2 linked regions of the Arabidopsis thaliana genome follow. The protein of the gene in region 1 interacts with the protein of each later gene in a pairwise test. Each region holds a gene or a part of one and is shown on either strand. Other genes may lie near its edges.

What was found.
Region 2: the proteins of MSBP1 (region 1) and BAK1 interact in a two-hybrid assay, tested with the Arabidopsis thaliana proteins (one study listed by BioGRID).

The regions. Positions count from the first base shown.
Region 1 is NC_003076.8:21,209,604-21,216,388, reverse strand, and holds MSBP1 (membrane steroid binding protein 1), read right to left. Parts: upstream 3,450-6,785; 5' UTR 3,269-3,449; coding exon 2,949-3,268; intron 2,175-2,948; coding exon 1,832-2,174; 3' UTR 1,778-1,831; coding exon of another isoform or gene 1,770-1,777; 3' UTR 1,547-1,769; downstream 1-1,546. Other genes in the region: MBD13 (methyl-CPG-binding domain protein 13), read left to right, coding at 4,755-4,838, 5,682-5,780, 5,916-6,062, 6,176-6,299, 6,407-6,607, 6,707-6,785. UniProt on the Arabidopsis thaliana protein: MSBP1 can bind to multiple steroid compounds with different affinities. Negatively regulates cell elongation and brassinosteroid signaling. May act as a coreceptor with BAK1 and enhances its endocytosis.
Region 2 is NC_003075.7:16,084,418-16,093,004, forward strand, and holds BAK1 (BRI1-associated receptor kinase), read right to left. Parts: upstream 6,361-8,587; 5' UTR 5,872-6,360; coding exon 5,787-5,871; intron 5,518-5,786; coding exon 5,385-5,517; intron 5,303-5,384; coding exon 5,231-5,302; intron 5,062-5,230; coding exon 4,918-5,061; intron 4,791-4,917; coding exon 4,650-4,790; intron 4,199-4,649; coding exon 4,127-4,198; intron 4,021-4,126; coding exon 3,949-4,020; intron 3,874-3,948; coding exon 3,797-3,873; intron 3,685-3,796; coding exon 3,553-3,684; intron 3,476-3,552; coding exon 3,134-3,475; intron 3,037-3,133; coding exon 2,642-3,036; intron 2,561-2,641; coding exon 2,237-2,560; 3' UTR 1,894-2,236; downstream 1-1,893. Other genes in the region: AT4G33420 (Peroxidase superfamily protein), read left to right, coding at 298-684, 771-959, 1,057-1,219, 1,309-1,688; AT4G33440 (Pectin lyase-like superfamily protein), read left to right, coding at 7,603-8,025.

The DNA of each region.
Region 1 (6,785 bases):
AGAGTCTATCTTTTAGATTGATTATGAGTTATAATCTTCATCACTCCTTAAGTTAGCTTTTAGCAACAAAAAGTTAGAGCAATGGGATATGGATAAGTATGGGAAGTACACCATGTCACCAACTTGCCAAAAAAATTCTCTTAGAAGAAAAAATGTAAAGAAACTTTTTTTTTAATTATTGGGTGCAGAGAGACATCGCATTAAAGGAAGAAGAAATGGAAACACGAGATTAGCATTACGTTAGCGTTGGTTGGATAAGAACCTCAAATTTTGAAACCTTTCCTAACGATTAGTTTGGTCGTCGTAGATCTCAACTCCTACGTGGATAATATTACACCTCTTTATTTCTGATTTTCATTTTATTTTTGAAGACAAAAGAAAGTGAATGCAAAAAGTACACGTCGATACATCGACGGTTCATTACGTTTAGAATACTATTGCTATATAATAACTACATGTGCGTTGATATCTTGGTGCATGTTTGGCTTATTTTGACGATTTCAATATCTCGTGACACTTAAGACAATAATTGTATTCATCATGACAGCTTGTAAAACGTATCTTAAGCCCATATGTCTAGGTCCAACCCAATCCATGATCGCAGAGAAGGCGATAACCAAAATTCAGTTTAAACTGATCTTAGAAGTTTTTTTTTTTTGTCGACTGAAATACATACACATATATCAAAATGGTTCGGTAATCCAAATCGATGGTGTATATAGAACTATAGGTCTTACATACTTAAAATAATGAAAATGTAGTGGTGAACAACATGCTAGCTAACAAGTTAGCAAGACAATTCTAATTACAAGAATAACAGAAAGCCAGAAGAGAGCAAATATTTGAGTCTTGCAAACCATTCCAAATATGTTGAGAAAATTGGCTAAAATGTTCAGGAAGTTGTCAATTTTCTTTTAGCTTTGAACAGTCCATTGAGATAGTTACCGATGTACTTTGATGCTTGATCATAGGAGAAAGGCTTATGCATAGATTCCTAACTCTAAAAAGAGATCCTTCTATGTCGTTATGAAAACCGATCCAACCTATATTTGAAAACATATCGAGTCTCCTTCCATCAACTATCTATAAAATCTTCACATGTTTACCAAAAAAAATGAACTATTTTATAAAACATTAATTTGTGACTTCAAACTCCAGTTTTTGTAATAAAGACCGTTGTTCAAAGGTACTTGTCTTATGTTCTTGCAGCTGTGCAGTTTCTCAAATGTATCATTAAAAACCTTATCATTACGTGCCTTCCAATGTATCAAATAATCCATGGAAAGGTTAAATCTTTTGAAGAGCCAGGTTGTTCCAAGAAAAGAATATCCAAATTTGCAAATACCGACGACACCGAAATTTCCATAGTGCTGAGGAGATCGAGCGCACATATCTGCAATGCAAGGAACACTCAGAAGAACGTGGTCAACTGTCTTCTTTGCCCCAATTCTTAAACATCGAGGATCACAATTGAATACTCTATTTCCCAATTGATATGGATTTAGTGACCAACTTAAAAACTTCCTATAGTAGTAACCAAAAGGATGAAGAGAATTTACAAAAAAAGGATCAGGTTTAATGTTTTAGTTTCCAGATTAATCATGCAGATTCACAAACCACAAGTATGAACTCGACTACATTGTAATCATGCAATGCAACGCCTTCTGATATGCAGTTTATAAAACATTTTTTTCTTATCATTAATCAGCAATCTTTATTTTTTGGGAAAGTAAAACAAGATTATCATTGACACTTCAACATTAGAGATTCTACAATCCTTTTCATAAAACTGGTCTCTATGACAAATCAGAGCAAATCTTGGAAATGGGCTCTACTCCTCCTTCTTCAACACAGTCTCAGCAGGAGCATCATCACTCTTATCAACAACGGTCTTCCCAGGCGTTGTGGTTACATGAGCATCTTGCTCAACATTCTCTGTGGGTTCAGAGACAGATGCGGTTTCAGGTTCTGAACCAGCCACTTTGACAGTACCAACCTTAGCATACTTGCTCATGAACTTGTACTCCCAATCTTGAAGAGCATCTAGCTCAAAGGGACCAAGACCAGAGACATCCCAAGTCAAGTCTTTCTCCTCAAATGACATCTTTGCAAGAGCTCGGCTAGCGTCTTTCCCTGCAAACAAAGCATATGGTCCTCCTGGTCCGTAGAACATCCTACAAAACCAATAAATATCAAACCTTTCATCACAAACACAACATTTAATTTAAATACGCAAAAACCAGACTAGACTATCATAAGAAGATGATCAATTCATTATACTCAAAGATTAACAAAGAGTTTTCACTAAAGATCTCAACCACAAGCAGACATTAACAACAAGAACATATTACAACTTCCTTTGAATCCTGTTCTTGTATGAAGGAAGCAAAAGGGTAAATTAACACTATGCCACTCAAAAGCTCGATTACATAGAAAAGCACAACTTTTGTGAAATTGATTCTCAAAGTGAACAACTTTATGGATATCACAGCTTCATAGATAAAACTATGCAAAGTCCAAGTTGTTATAGAGTAAAACGAGATTTGAGGAAGACAATAAAAATCCAACCTTTCATTACAAACACAACACTTGAGACACTAAAACCAGTCTAAGAGATTGATTATACTCGAAGATAGAGCTAAGATATTTCACAACATGATCTCAATCACTAGCAAACATCAACAACAAAAACATATTCCTTTGAATCTTTCTCTTGTATAAAAGTAACAAAAAGGATCAACTTTTCCAATGTGCTTTTCTGAAATTGATTCTCAAAACAAAACTCCTTTGTGAAATTGATTCTCAAAGTGAACAACTTTACGATTCTCACAGCTTTATAGATCATAAAAGTATGCAAAGTCCAAGTCTTTATACGCTAAAACAAGATTAGAGGAAACAATGAATCAAACCCATAACCTAATTTCGCTTTTTAGATTCAGAAATTTCACCTGCTTTGTGTAACATCATAGATCTGATGTTTGATAGCCATAAGAAGGGGCTTTTGAGGATCAGAGCCATCGTACTGTTTAAGCTCCTCCTCCGTGATCTCACCGACTTGAACAGGCTGAGGAATCGGTGGCTCCTCCTCTTGAGCCAAGGATCTAGCTCTCTGATGTCGGTTAACATCATCGAACGGCGAGGCAAACCAGCCTGAGATGACTTGGTAAATGGCGAAGGCGAGAGCTAGAGCAGTGAAGAAGACAACAGGAGAAAGACCTGTGTAAGCATGGATTGCTTCTTTGAGAGTTTGCCATAGTTCTAACGCCATGGCTTTGAAGAGAGGATTCTCAAGATCAGTAGTGTGTTGAAAAGGCTTGTCTTTGTAAAAGTCAGGCTTTTGTGCTAGATAGAGAGTTGTTGGGTTTTGACTCTTGTTGTTGTACTACTTCCTTGGTTGATTGATTTTTTTCTTTCTTGGGTTTAAAAGTTAAATACAGCTAAAACGACCGAATAAGATTTTTTATATAGTTATTAGGGAACTAATCTTTATTTTTACCATACAATTTTTAAATAAAAAGTTATTTTCTTCTATAAGTAAAATACAAATGATAATGTAGTACATGGGATTGTGTTAGTGTTTTTGATATGTCAAAATTCGGGTTTCAAGTCTCTGCCGTAAAATAGATAGATTTTCGACGAAATAGAAAAGACATCAAGCTTAGATATGTAAATGGCTAGAATATAGTTAAGAAAAAAGCAGTAGAGTATTTTCTGAAAATCTTTGATGTTCAATTCAGTTATTTTCATCATGAAATTTGATAAAAAAAACTAAAAAGAATCATAACCTCGAAAAGAAAAATAAGTTTTAAGAAAAATAAGTTTCGTGGATGCAGAATTTAAAAAGAAAAAATCAACCACTTTTCAGATTTTAAAACACATTTTATAACATTGATATAACCTTCAATCCAAATAATTTATTAATACATAAACTTTTTTAAAAATCAAAGTTTCAATAATTAAATCACTAGAAATAGAATAAAATCATACTTCTAAATCTTTTAAACATGATATACAAATACCAAATTTAATAACATAAATTTAAACAAAAAGTAATTAAAACTATATATTAAGTAAAAATAAATTATATTTAATTCAGATTTATGAAAATTCATAATTGACTATATTAGTATTTTTCACTTTTCTTCTCATGATAAATCTTCCAATCCTAACATTTACAATAATAACATTTTTTTTTTCTTTTGGGTCAAAAAATGATAACAAAGTCTTAAATGTTTCCCAAAAAATATCATCATAAATAGATTTGCAATTAGATTTTATAACCAAATCAAGCAAATGTTTTTTAATATACAGTGTAAGTTTTTTTAAAATTGGGACAATAACAATGGAAGTAAACAACAAACAGTACAAGAGAATAAAATGGAGAAAATGAGCTAAATTGCAATCAGAGAAGAGAAGCGTTGGGCCAGAAGACTCGCGTGCTGGTGGACTGAGTTTTCTTGAACCTCTCAAATCGGGGAATCTCCATTGAAACTCCTCCACACTACACGTGTAAACCCTTTCTTCTTCTTCCCCATTAAATCCTACTATTTTTCTTATTTACCTTAGTGGAGACAGAACCAAATCACACAATCAGACAAAATAAAAAGGTTCCTTCTTTATAACTTCCGACGGTGTCCATTATCTGAATCCGACAATTCTTGATGGGTTTTGGCGTTTTGAGTTGATAAACCATTCTGAGTTGTGAATCAGGGATACAAGAGAGAGAGGAAAGTGGTTTTACGGTGACCGGAGAGATGAACGGAGAAGGGATCTCTGATGGTTTGTCGGCTGAGAGGAAAGTGGAAATTAGAGTGAGGAAGAATGGGAGAAAGGATAAGGTGATTTATGAGTTTTAAACCCTTTTCTTAATTTTGATTGTCTTTTGCATGTTTGGTTCTTGTTAGCTCCTTTTGTGGAAATTGTAGTTATCTTTATTGAAGTGCCAAATACTTTGATTCACTCTTAGTTTCTGATTGTATGATTTTGTAATGATGGAAAAAGGTGAAGTCTTTTGTGACGTTTGAGTGATTTTCTCTTGCATGCAATGCTTAGCTTTTAGGGAAAGATGACATGTGATCAAAAGAGAAGAGGTCTAGTTGATTAAGTGTCTGAAAATGGTCTTGACCTGACTTTTTGTTTTGTTATAGATGATGTAGTTTGATCAAAGCTTTGTTATGTAGCTACATTTTGAACTCAATTGATTTTACTTGGTTCCACTGTGGCTTAGAAAGCTCTTATTACTTGTGTGCATGATTGGAGATGTTTATTTTTTTTAAGTTTTTCTTGAATTTTTAAAAGTTTGTCTCTTAGTTTACTTCGTGTGAAAAGGAATTATATGGTTACTTTACTGAGATGGTTAGACATTAAGAGTAATAGATCTTGTGAAAATGAATTTGGATTGTTAAGTAACCATCTTCGAGAGAATACTGTAATATTCGTAAGCACTAAAACTTTGTACCTCTCGCGTATGCAAAGGGAAAGTTTTGAGATGAATCACATTTATATTGGCAAGGGTCTGGTATTAGGTTGTTCATGGAAAGTTCATAAGCACAGAATATCTGAGAGTTTTGTGTTGTTTATATGTTTGAAGACAATGTTACTTTGTTCTTTGTGATCCCTAAAAAGATTTGACATTTATACGTCTCTTAAAATGAAAAACTCTTTATGTTTAAGTGATACAGGTTATAGTTGAGAAATCTGCTGCTCAAGGTTTACCTGAAGGATGGATCAAGAAACTTGAAATAACAAATAGATCAGGCCGTAAAACCAGAAGAGATCCAGTTTGTACCCTCTACTCTCTTTGTGATAACATCATCTTTGATCAAAAGTACATTTTGTGTCTTTTCCACATAAGCTCACTTTAGAAAATCTCTTATGTGATTCTTCTTGGACATGTCTTGTTTTTGATTTTGCAGTTCTTCATTGACCCTAAAAGTGAGTATATCTTTCAATCCTTCAAAGACGCATCACGGTATGTTGAGACTGGCAATATTGGACATTATGCACGTAAATTGAAAGAAAGTGATATCGAAGATGATGATTCCGGAAATGGAAAGACTGTTGTGAGTTCCTTTCTCCTTTTTTGTTATAGTTAGTTTAATGGAAAGCACTATAGCTGAATGATTGAATTTTCTGTTAATCTTTTAACTCTTAACTTTTCTCTGTCTGATTTTAGCTTCGTCTGGAGTATGTGGACAAGAGATCTGCAGATGATGTATTGGAAAAAGAGAAAACGATAGATGATGTCAGAAGAAGTAAACGGAGAAACTTATCTTCTTCTGATGAACATTCCAAGAATTGTAAGTACAAAGTCTTTTGGGTTCTGATTTTGCCACTTGCCAGGGTATAATCATACTTATGCCGTGAGTTACGTTAAGTAAGTGTCAACATTCGATTATATATGCAGGTAAAATGACTTCTGACTTGAGCATTGTAACCTCACAAGTTCTTGAGGATTTGGGGAAGAAGGAAGAGGTGAAAGATCCTATCGAAAAGCAGCTCATAGCGAAACGGGTTACTAGAAGCCAAACTAAAGCCAGTACGACTGAGGAAGTCGTCGTAGATTTAAAAAGAAATCTGTCTTCATCAAATGCAAAATCAGAAAAAGGTGTGCAGATACCTGACTTAATATTTCCACCTGAGTAGTGGCTGAGATAACAAAAAGATTTGAGGACACCAATTTTTTCTATGTTCTCTATATTTGTAGATTCTGTAAACTCCAGTGTAAGGTCACAAAAACCAAAGAAGGAAGCTGTTATGAAGGAAGAAGAGGAACAAGATTCTTC
Region 2 (8,587 bases), on another chromosome or scaffold:
TTTAAATTAAAATATTGGTCAGCTATAGACTATAGTAAGTATATTAAATAATAATAACATTTTTTGTGGACAAAGAGAATTCGGGTTTTGGGGTTTTGGCAAAGGAAAGAAATGGTCATATGTGGAACACTACGTGCCACTTTTCATGCAATAACATGCAAATATTAGGTCAGCCACTAGGAATAGAATAAGTTGAATAGTTTTTTACGATGATAAGAGTAAGCGGGAAGCCATAATAGACCACTATCCCAAAACTTTAATCTGCTTCCAACTCATTATGGGACCAACTAATACAAAATGATATGTATTCCATGTTCCAACCACTCCAATACGAATTACGAAGCAAGCGTGTCTCAGTGTCTGAGTGCGACTGCCTTCTCTCTATATATAAGAGATATACATAGTGAATTAAACATCTTAATTATACTGATCTTTATCATGTTGACTAGATTTAAGAAACAAAATAATAAGATGGTTAGGGCAAATATAGTGAGCATGGTTCTGTTGATGCATGCCATCGTTGGGTTTCCTTTTCATGCGAGGGGATTAAGTATGACTTACTACATGATGAGCTGTCCTTTCGCTGAACAGATTGTGAAGAACAGTGTTAACAATGCTCTTCAAGCCGATCCCACTTTAGCCGCTGGTCTTATCCGTATGTTGTTCCACGACTGTTTCATCGAGGTACTTAACGTTTTCTGTTTAATTAATTGTGTTTTTTTCGTAGAAAAACCCTTAAAATTAATGTGTAATTTTTGGTTCATAATAAGGGATGTGATGCGTCAATTCTGCTAGATTCAACGAAAGACAACACTGCGGAAAAGGATTCGCCTGCGAATCTGAGTCTACGTGGCTACGAGATCATCGATGATGCAAAGGAGAAAATCGAGAATAGATGTCCAGGAGTTGTATCATGCGCAGATATAGTTGCCATGGCTGCTAGAGATGCTGTCTTTTGGGTAATTTATTTGATCACGTTTTTGAATTACCTTTATGTGATTATAGTAAATATGATTAATTAGTGTACTTAACATAATTAGTAATTGAAATTGTTAGGCTGGTGGTCCATATTATGACATACCGAAAGGAAGGTTTGATGGTAAAAGATCAAAGATAGAAGATACAAGAAATCTACCTTCACCTTTTCTTAATGCCTCTCAACTCATTCAAACTTTTGGCCAACGTGGTTTCACTCCACAAGATGTTGTTGCTCTCTCTGGTCAGTTCTTTAAAGAACTAATATATGTGTATTGTGTGTGATAATCTAATTTGGTTTTAACTTAATAATTTGTGGGGATATATATATAGGAGCACATACCCTAGGAGTTGCACGATGCTCCTCCTTCAAGGCTAGACTTACCGTCCCAGACTCTTCATTAGACTCGACTTTTGCAAACACTCTCTCTAAAACATGCAGCGCGGGTGACAATGCAGAGCAACCCTTTGATGCTACGCGCAACGATTTCGACAATGCTTACTTCAATGCGCTTCAGATGAAATCAGGAGTCCTCTTTTCAGACCAAACTTTATTCAACACACCAAGGACCAGGAATCTTGTTAACGGCTATGCACTTAACCAAGCCAAGTTCTTCTTTGATTTCCAACAGGCCATGCGCAAGATGAGCAATCTTGATGTTAAACTTGGCTCTCAAGGTGAAGTCCGTCAAAATTGTCGGAGTATTAATTAGGCTAGACCACATCTACTTACGATTTTTGTATTTATAATAAGTTCTCTACTCTTGTTATATGAAGAATCATGAATCTTCTAGGCTACTATGTAAAAATTGTGTACTCTCGTAATATGCAGTTGTATACTTATTGCTTGTGTGGTTCAGATATCCATCAAAAAGTAATATACTTTGGTTGCATTTTCTTGTCCAATTGCTATTTAAAGGCAAAAGTCTCCTTTTCTTCTGAACAATCTCCGGATCTAGAAATCACATGATAACACAGAAACCGGTAAGAAAAGAAACCTGACGCACGGTGAAAAAGAATAATTGATGGGATACATATTTGTGAATCAAGTGCGCAACAATCCTCAAGTGGTGAGCTTAAGACATGTTTGGGTTTTAGCTTTCAACAACATTCAAATCCTTTTTCATCATATAACACTTACAAACCCAATCTGATCCTCATGTATTCACTTAAGAACCAATAATATGGAGCAGCAGAAGCTAAAACCCTCAATAAATACAGAGAAAAACAAAATACAGAAAAAACATTCGTGTTTCGAATCTTATCTTGGACCCGAGGGGTATTCGTTTTCGATCTGGGAAGTGGAATCGCCAATGATCCAGCCAGACACGGCTGGATGGTGGGTTGGGTAGTTGAAATCTTGTCTGAACATTTCCTCCTTTTGCCACTCTTCCCATCTCTCAGCTAAACCATCTCCTTCAAGCATTCTTACAACTTCAGACATTTTGGGTCTTTCCATTGGTGAACTCTGAGTGCAGAGTAAAGCCACTTGGATTAGCTGCTCCACTTCTTCGTCTTTGTAATTACCCTGAAGATCAACATCTACTAGTGCTTCCAATTTCTTCTCTTTTAACAACCCTTTCACCTGTCGAAATGAATAATTAACACAAATAGAGGTAACACAGATAATGAACTATACAAGTGGGAAACTCATATATGTATATACCCAGTCTAGTAACATGACATCATCATCATTCGCGAGGCGAGCAAGATCAAAAGCCCTTTGTCCAGTGATAAGCTCAAGAAGCATGACTCCATACCCAAAGACATCGGTTTTCTCTGATGATTTTCCAGTGGAAAGGTACTCAGGGGCTATATGACCAATTGTCCCACGCACTGCGGTTGTCACATGTGTGTCTTTGTAGTCCATGAGTTTTGCAAGTCCAAAATCCCCAACCACGGCTTCAAACTCTTCATCCAACAAAATATTTGCAGCTTTCACATCTCGATGAATAATCTTTGGGTCGCAATGATCATGTAAATACGCAAGCCCTCTTGCAGATCCCAACGCAATACGCTGTCTCTTTGGCCAATCAAGTGGTGGCTGGGACTCGGGACGTTCTAAGGAGAAAATAAAATATAAGATTACTACGGATAAAAAGGCAACCATTGGACGGAAATATTGCAGTCAAAGAAAAAGGCACAAGATGAGAGATACCTCTTAAACAGGAGGCAACACTTCCATTAGCCATGTAGGGATAAACAAGCAATCTTTCGGTTGGAGTCATGCAAAATCCACGAAGCCGAAGCAAGTTTCTGTGAACCGCCATACTAATCATCTCAACCTCTGTCTGGAACTGCAGTTCGCCACCTTGGGTGCGCTCCTCTTTTAGCCTTTTAACGGCCACTAAAGTACCATCAGCTAACCGTCCTTTATAAACTTTACCAAAACCACCTCTACCCAATATGTTCTTGTTGCTAAAATTATCCGAAGCAACTTGTAGTTCACGCAATGAAAACCTCTTCAGTTGTCCTAAATGAACTTCTGGGTCCTCTTCAGCTGCAAAAAGACGGTAATAAAAAAAAATCAGCAAGAGAAGTGTTAATGAGGAAACAGGTAAAGCAAGTTTAGCTAACCTGGTACATCAAAGAAGTGGTCCTGCGGCTTTTTCCTTCGCCACCAAGCTAGTGCAATGGCCGGAACAGCAAATAGAAGTGCAGCACCTGCAGCAACTCCTCCCGCAATCGCTCCAGTAATTCTATTACTCCCTGCAAGAATGAAATGAACAATCTCTTTCTTAATACTTAATGGATCTGCTTAAAATGTTTACTTATTCAGTTGAATAACATTTCAAAGACAAAGACATATACAAAAAAAAACCTGCAGGTGATGGCGGTGTAGGAGAGATAGGAGGCGGTGGAGATGCAGGAAGGGGAGTCAACTTGGTGTTGGCAAAACTGCAAAATTTCAAATAATTAATCAAACATTCTGACCTCTCCACCAAGATTTAAACTAGGAGCAGGATGCAAAACCTGATTGGAGTGAAAAGTGAAAAGGAACCATTAACAGGAATATCTCCGGTGAGAGGATTGTTTGAGAGATCCCTGCATTATAAGATGATATCATTTTCTGACTTAATGCCAAGATCGGCCAAACAATAATCAGAAACATGAACACAGAGGAATTTGAGAGAGATAAAGTTACACTCACAGAACTTGTAGCGTCAGGACAGCAGTCAAAGACCTTGGAATTTCTCCAGATAAGCTATTGTTATTAAGACGCCTAACCACCAATACAAAAAGAGAATGTCATGAATAAGTGGAAATACATTAACCAGTAATGAGTTTATAGTGAGAGCAAAAATACAAACTTTAAAAGACTTTCAAAAGTAGGGGTTGTTCTAAAATCTCATCCAACAGATATGAAGCTGATTGAAAAATCAAGTATATTTTCCTAATTAGCGCGACTTACTACTTTAGATGCGTTCACCCTCTAGATTTACAGAGCACTCACAAATTAATAAGTAACAATAGGGTTTAGCGCTTAAATTCTAAGGCAGAAGAATATTGTTATCTTTGATAGAATTTCATTCTTCCAGAACCAAATCGATTTCATACAAAATAAGCGAGTCAATAACTACCATTGAAGATCACAAAGGTGACACACGAGAACAACCAAAAAGACAGTCACCTGAATTCGGAACTTTGTGTTGTTCCAGTAAAATTAAGCGAACACAAGGATAGAGTTCTGATTCCTTTTACGAAAGCTCATAATTAAAATAGACCATATTATACAACATCCTAGTCTCCAAGAGAACACCTTTTCATCTAGTAAAATAACGTAGCATCTATTTGGCGACACTACTTTCTGACTCCTACAAATGTAACACGTTGCACGAATAGCTTTTACAGGAAGACAAACACGATCAAGGAAACTAAAGACAATAATTAGGCTGCTTATTAAAAACGTATTAAAAGAAGAGAGTAGAATATGGTGCATACAAGAAACGGAGTTTCTTAAGTCGGCCGAGAGTTGATGGAATAGGCCCGCTTAAATTGTTCAAGTAAAGATCCAAGCTCACCAATTCCGTCAGATTTCCAAGCTGTTCTGGGATTGTCCCAGTAATGTTATTGCTATAAAGCTCCCTGTCATTACCATTCTTTAATATTAATTTCACCATAAGATCGGAAAGATATATAACTAATAATCTATGATAATGCAAAATTATGCAGTTATTTGGAACATTGTAACATTTTTAACATCCCACATACACCAAAAGTTAAAAGACGGCCTTTTAAAGAAAAGATGACTTACAAGTACTGCAAGTTTGGAAGCTGACCAAGTTGCATTACGAGCTGTCCAGATAGATTTGCATTCCCAAGGTCACTGAGCAAAAATGAAGTTCAAGTAAATTCTCAGTAGATGCGAAAATCCGAATCATCTTGGCTAGATATAGAAAGAAACTTACACACGTGTAACACTATTGTCGCTATTGCAAGTAACATGAAACCATGTACATGGAGTAACAAGAGTAGCATCCCAACTTTGAAGCACCTTATTAGGGTCGGCTAAACTGTTTTTCAGTGCACTTAGAGCATCACCTACAATTAACCAAAGAAGAAGAAAAAATCAAACTTTGCAATCATCAAGTGTCACGAGGATACATAATCACTGGAATCAGTCGAAACAGATGTAACCCAAATATAACTCAAGTCAATACAGCAAAACAAGTAACAGATAAGTTAAAAATGCCTTCTTTAGGTGAGAACAAGCTCTCATAAGCCTATACTAATCAAAATACTCAACAAGGGAAACTAATTTAATTGGAAAGAATGAAAAATTGAAAGAGAATGAGAGAGAAAGGGGAAACCTTCGGCGTTGCCCGAGACTCTGAGAACCAAATCCAAAACGAGAATCAACCAAAAGAAGCAAGGGATCATTAATCTTCGTTCCATTTTATCCTCAAGAGATTAAAAACAAACCCTAGAACTATCCCTCATCAGAGAAAATCCATCATTGTTAAAACCCCTGATAAAAGGGATCTCGAATCCTTCGATTAAGCTACCACCCACACAAGGTAATACCAAGATGATGAAATTAGAAGCAGAATACGAGAAAAGCCCTCTCAACGCGTATCCACCCGTTGACTTAATTTGAAGAGAAAATCAAAATACCCAAATCGATTAATCGCGGAAACCAAAAAAGCAAAAAAAAAAGAAACTGAAGCTAGACTTTTCCGATTAGAAGGAACGCCGAGATCGCTGACCGTTGACTACTTAATGCTGAGAAGAGAGAAAACTGAGATAGAGAAAACGAAAGGAGGAAGAAGATATTTCCTGGAAATATACTAAAAAAGGGTCGAAACAAAGAGAGATGAGAGAGAGGAGAGAAACCAAGTTATCGCCGAGAGCAAGGAAGGAAGACGAATTTTAATTATTTTCTTTGCTTAAAGAAGGGATTTTACTGGGTTGAGTTGTTGTACTGTGAAAACTATATTAAAAAAATGACATTTAAGATTGAGAAAACGACAAAGAGGATGATGACGTGGACGAGCATTTTCAAAGCTTTTTTAGAGCTAGTCAAAGTCAAAGACGCACGACTTCATTCCGAATCATGTTTGTTATGTTCGCCCACCTTATCATCATCCATCATATGACATTAGATATAAACCATGATGGTCATGAACTCATGATAGTTGATAGTGAGTTATATACCATCATCATAATCCTAATTACCGGCCCAGCTCTATTTTTTCGGGCTTTTATTGTTTATTGGGCTTGGTCTTAATAGCAAGTTCGTTTATTCCAAAGATGAGCAAAAGCTTTTTTGATTTTTTTATTCTTTTTTAAAGATTATAGCTCTAAAAAATTACAATTCAATATTGAAAAATGTAAGCTGAATAATCCATCTGGTCCAATGAATTAAACAAAACAAAAAACATTATTGTATCATATATAATTTACTGGTTGATAGTTTAACTATTTATGCCATTTAATATTTTTAAAAGAACAAAAGTAATTTTGAGGAAAAATGAAATAAAAAACAAAAAACACAAACGGACAGAGTATATGTTGCCAGCAATAAAATACGGACATATACCTTAGTTTGGCATTAAAAAACAAAACAAAAACACAACAAACAACTCAGTACAGTAGGCTATTTAAAGGCCCATCAGATTAAGACTTGGAAGTCTGACGAGATTGTAACGCCTCACAATCCTTCCTACCCGTGAGTCCGTGACCGATTGTGTATCATCCATCTTCTTTCTTCTTCTTTCTTCTTCTTTCTTCTTCTTTTATATATAAACCAAAATATAATTCGTGAAGACTTTCACTTTCTCCTTGCCACTTTTTGACGATTCACATGCACCATCCAATATTTTAGTGCCCTTTTCACGACATATCTGTGTCTGTATCCAATTTTCTTATTTACTACTACTTTTTTCTATTTATATATACAAAAATAATCAAAGAGAGAGACGAATTTTCGAGGTAAGGTATCTATCGACTTTCTATCTTCCTCCACCTTTGTTTGTTGTCACCACCACACTACGCTAATCATTGCCACACACATGCATAATTCTCTCCAACCATCTAAAAGTCCCACTTTAGCATTCTTCTGTTTGTAATTTTATCTCAGAGCTTGCTTCATGGGCTTTTGAGTTTTCTCTCTGTTTCCAAAAAACAATGGAACCGGAGAAGAATCCGACCACAGTATTGAGTGCCATTACAAGACCTTCGTGGGCGTTTCTTCTCCTTGTTTTCACCGTCTTAGCGATTCTCTCTCTCCAAATCTCTTCCAATTCTTTTCTCCCTCTCTGGATCCCGACTTCTCAATATGACGACCCTGTTACCTGCTCCGGGTTTTTCAATCACGACCCGTTCCCTAACCGGATCGTTATGTCGATTACCGATTTCGGCGGTGTTGGAGACGGAAAGACGTCGAACACGGCCGCTTTCCGCCGCGCCGTAAGGCACCTTGAAGGTTTTGCGGCGGAGGGTGGGGCCCAGCTCAATGTCCCGGAGGGCACGTGGCTTTCTGGAAGCTTCAACCTCACCAGCAATTTCACGCTCTTTCTCGAACGCGGCGCTCTCATTTTGGGATCCAAGGTTATATCAAAGTTTTGAATTCTTTAACACATTGATAAAGTTTACTTTTTTTTTGCTTTGTTTGTTGTTGATTGGTTCTGAACAGTAGTAGTATTAAGAGAATTCAATTAGTTGTTGATTGCTCTGTGAGAATCCAAAATTTGGGTTTGTGATTGCTTTTTGATTTGTGGGTTCATAAAGTTTTGTTGGTAAACACTATATTCATTTCGCTAATCACGGTCAGTGGTTAAAATGGACCCACCATTGTTTGATACAGCAAAAAAGCTGTTATTTTTGAGTGGGGATAGTCTCTAGTAGTGCGAAATCTGGATTTGCATATCAAAAGTCAGTGTTTTGCATGAATTTTGTATTAACACTTGTTAATTTCGGATTGACTTGTTCAATGAATGTTCTTGTGATGTCTCGATAGTAGCTGTAACAAAAAAAAAGTCAAGTGGAAGAAACCATTTTTATATGATCATATTCCAAGAAAGGAGTTAGATGTATAGACAACTTTTGTCTGAAGCATGTTCATGTACGAACTAGATCTATCAGATTACTTGTGTTGTCTCCTAATTTAGTA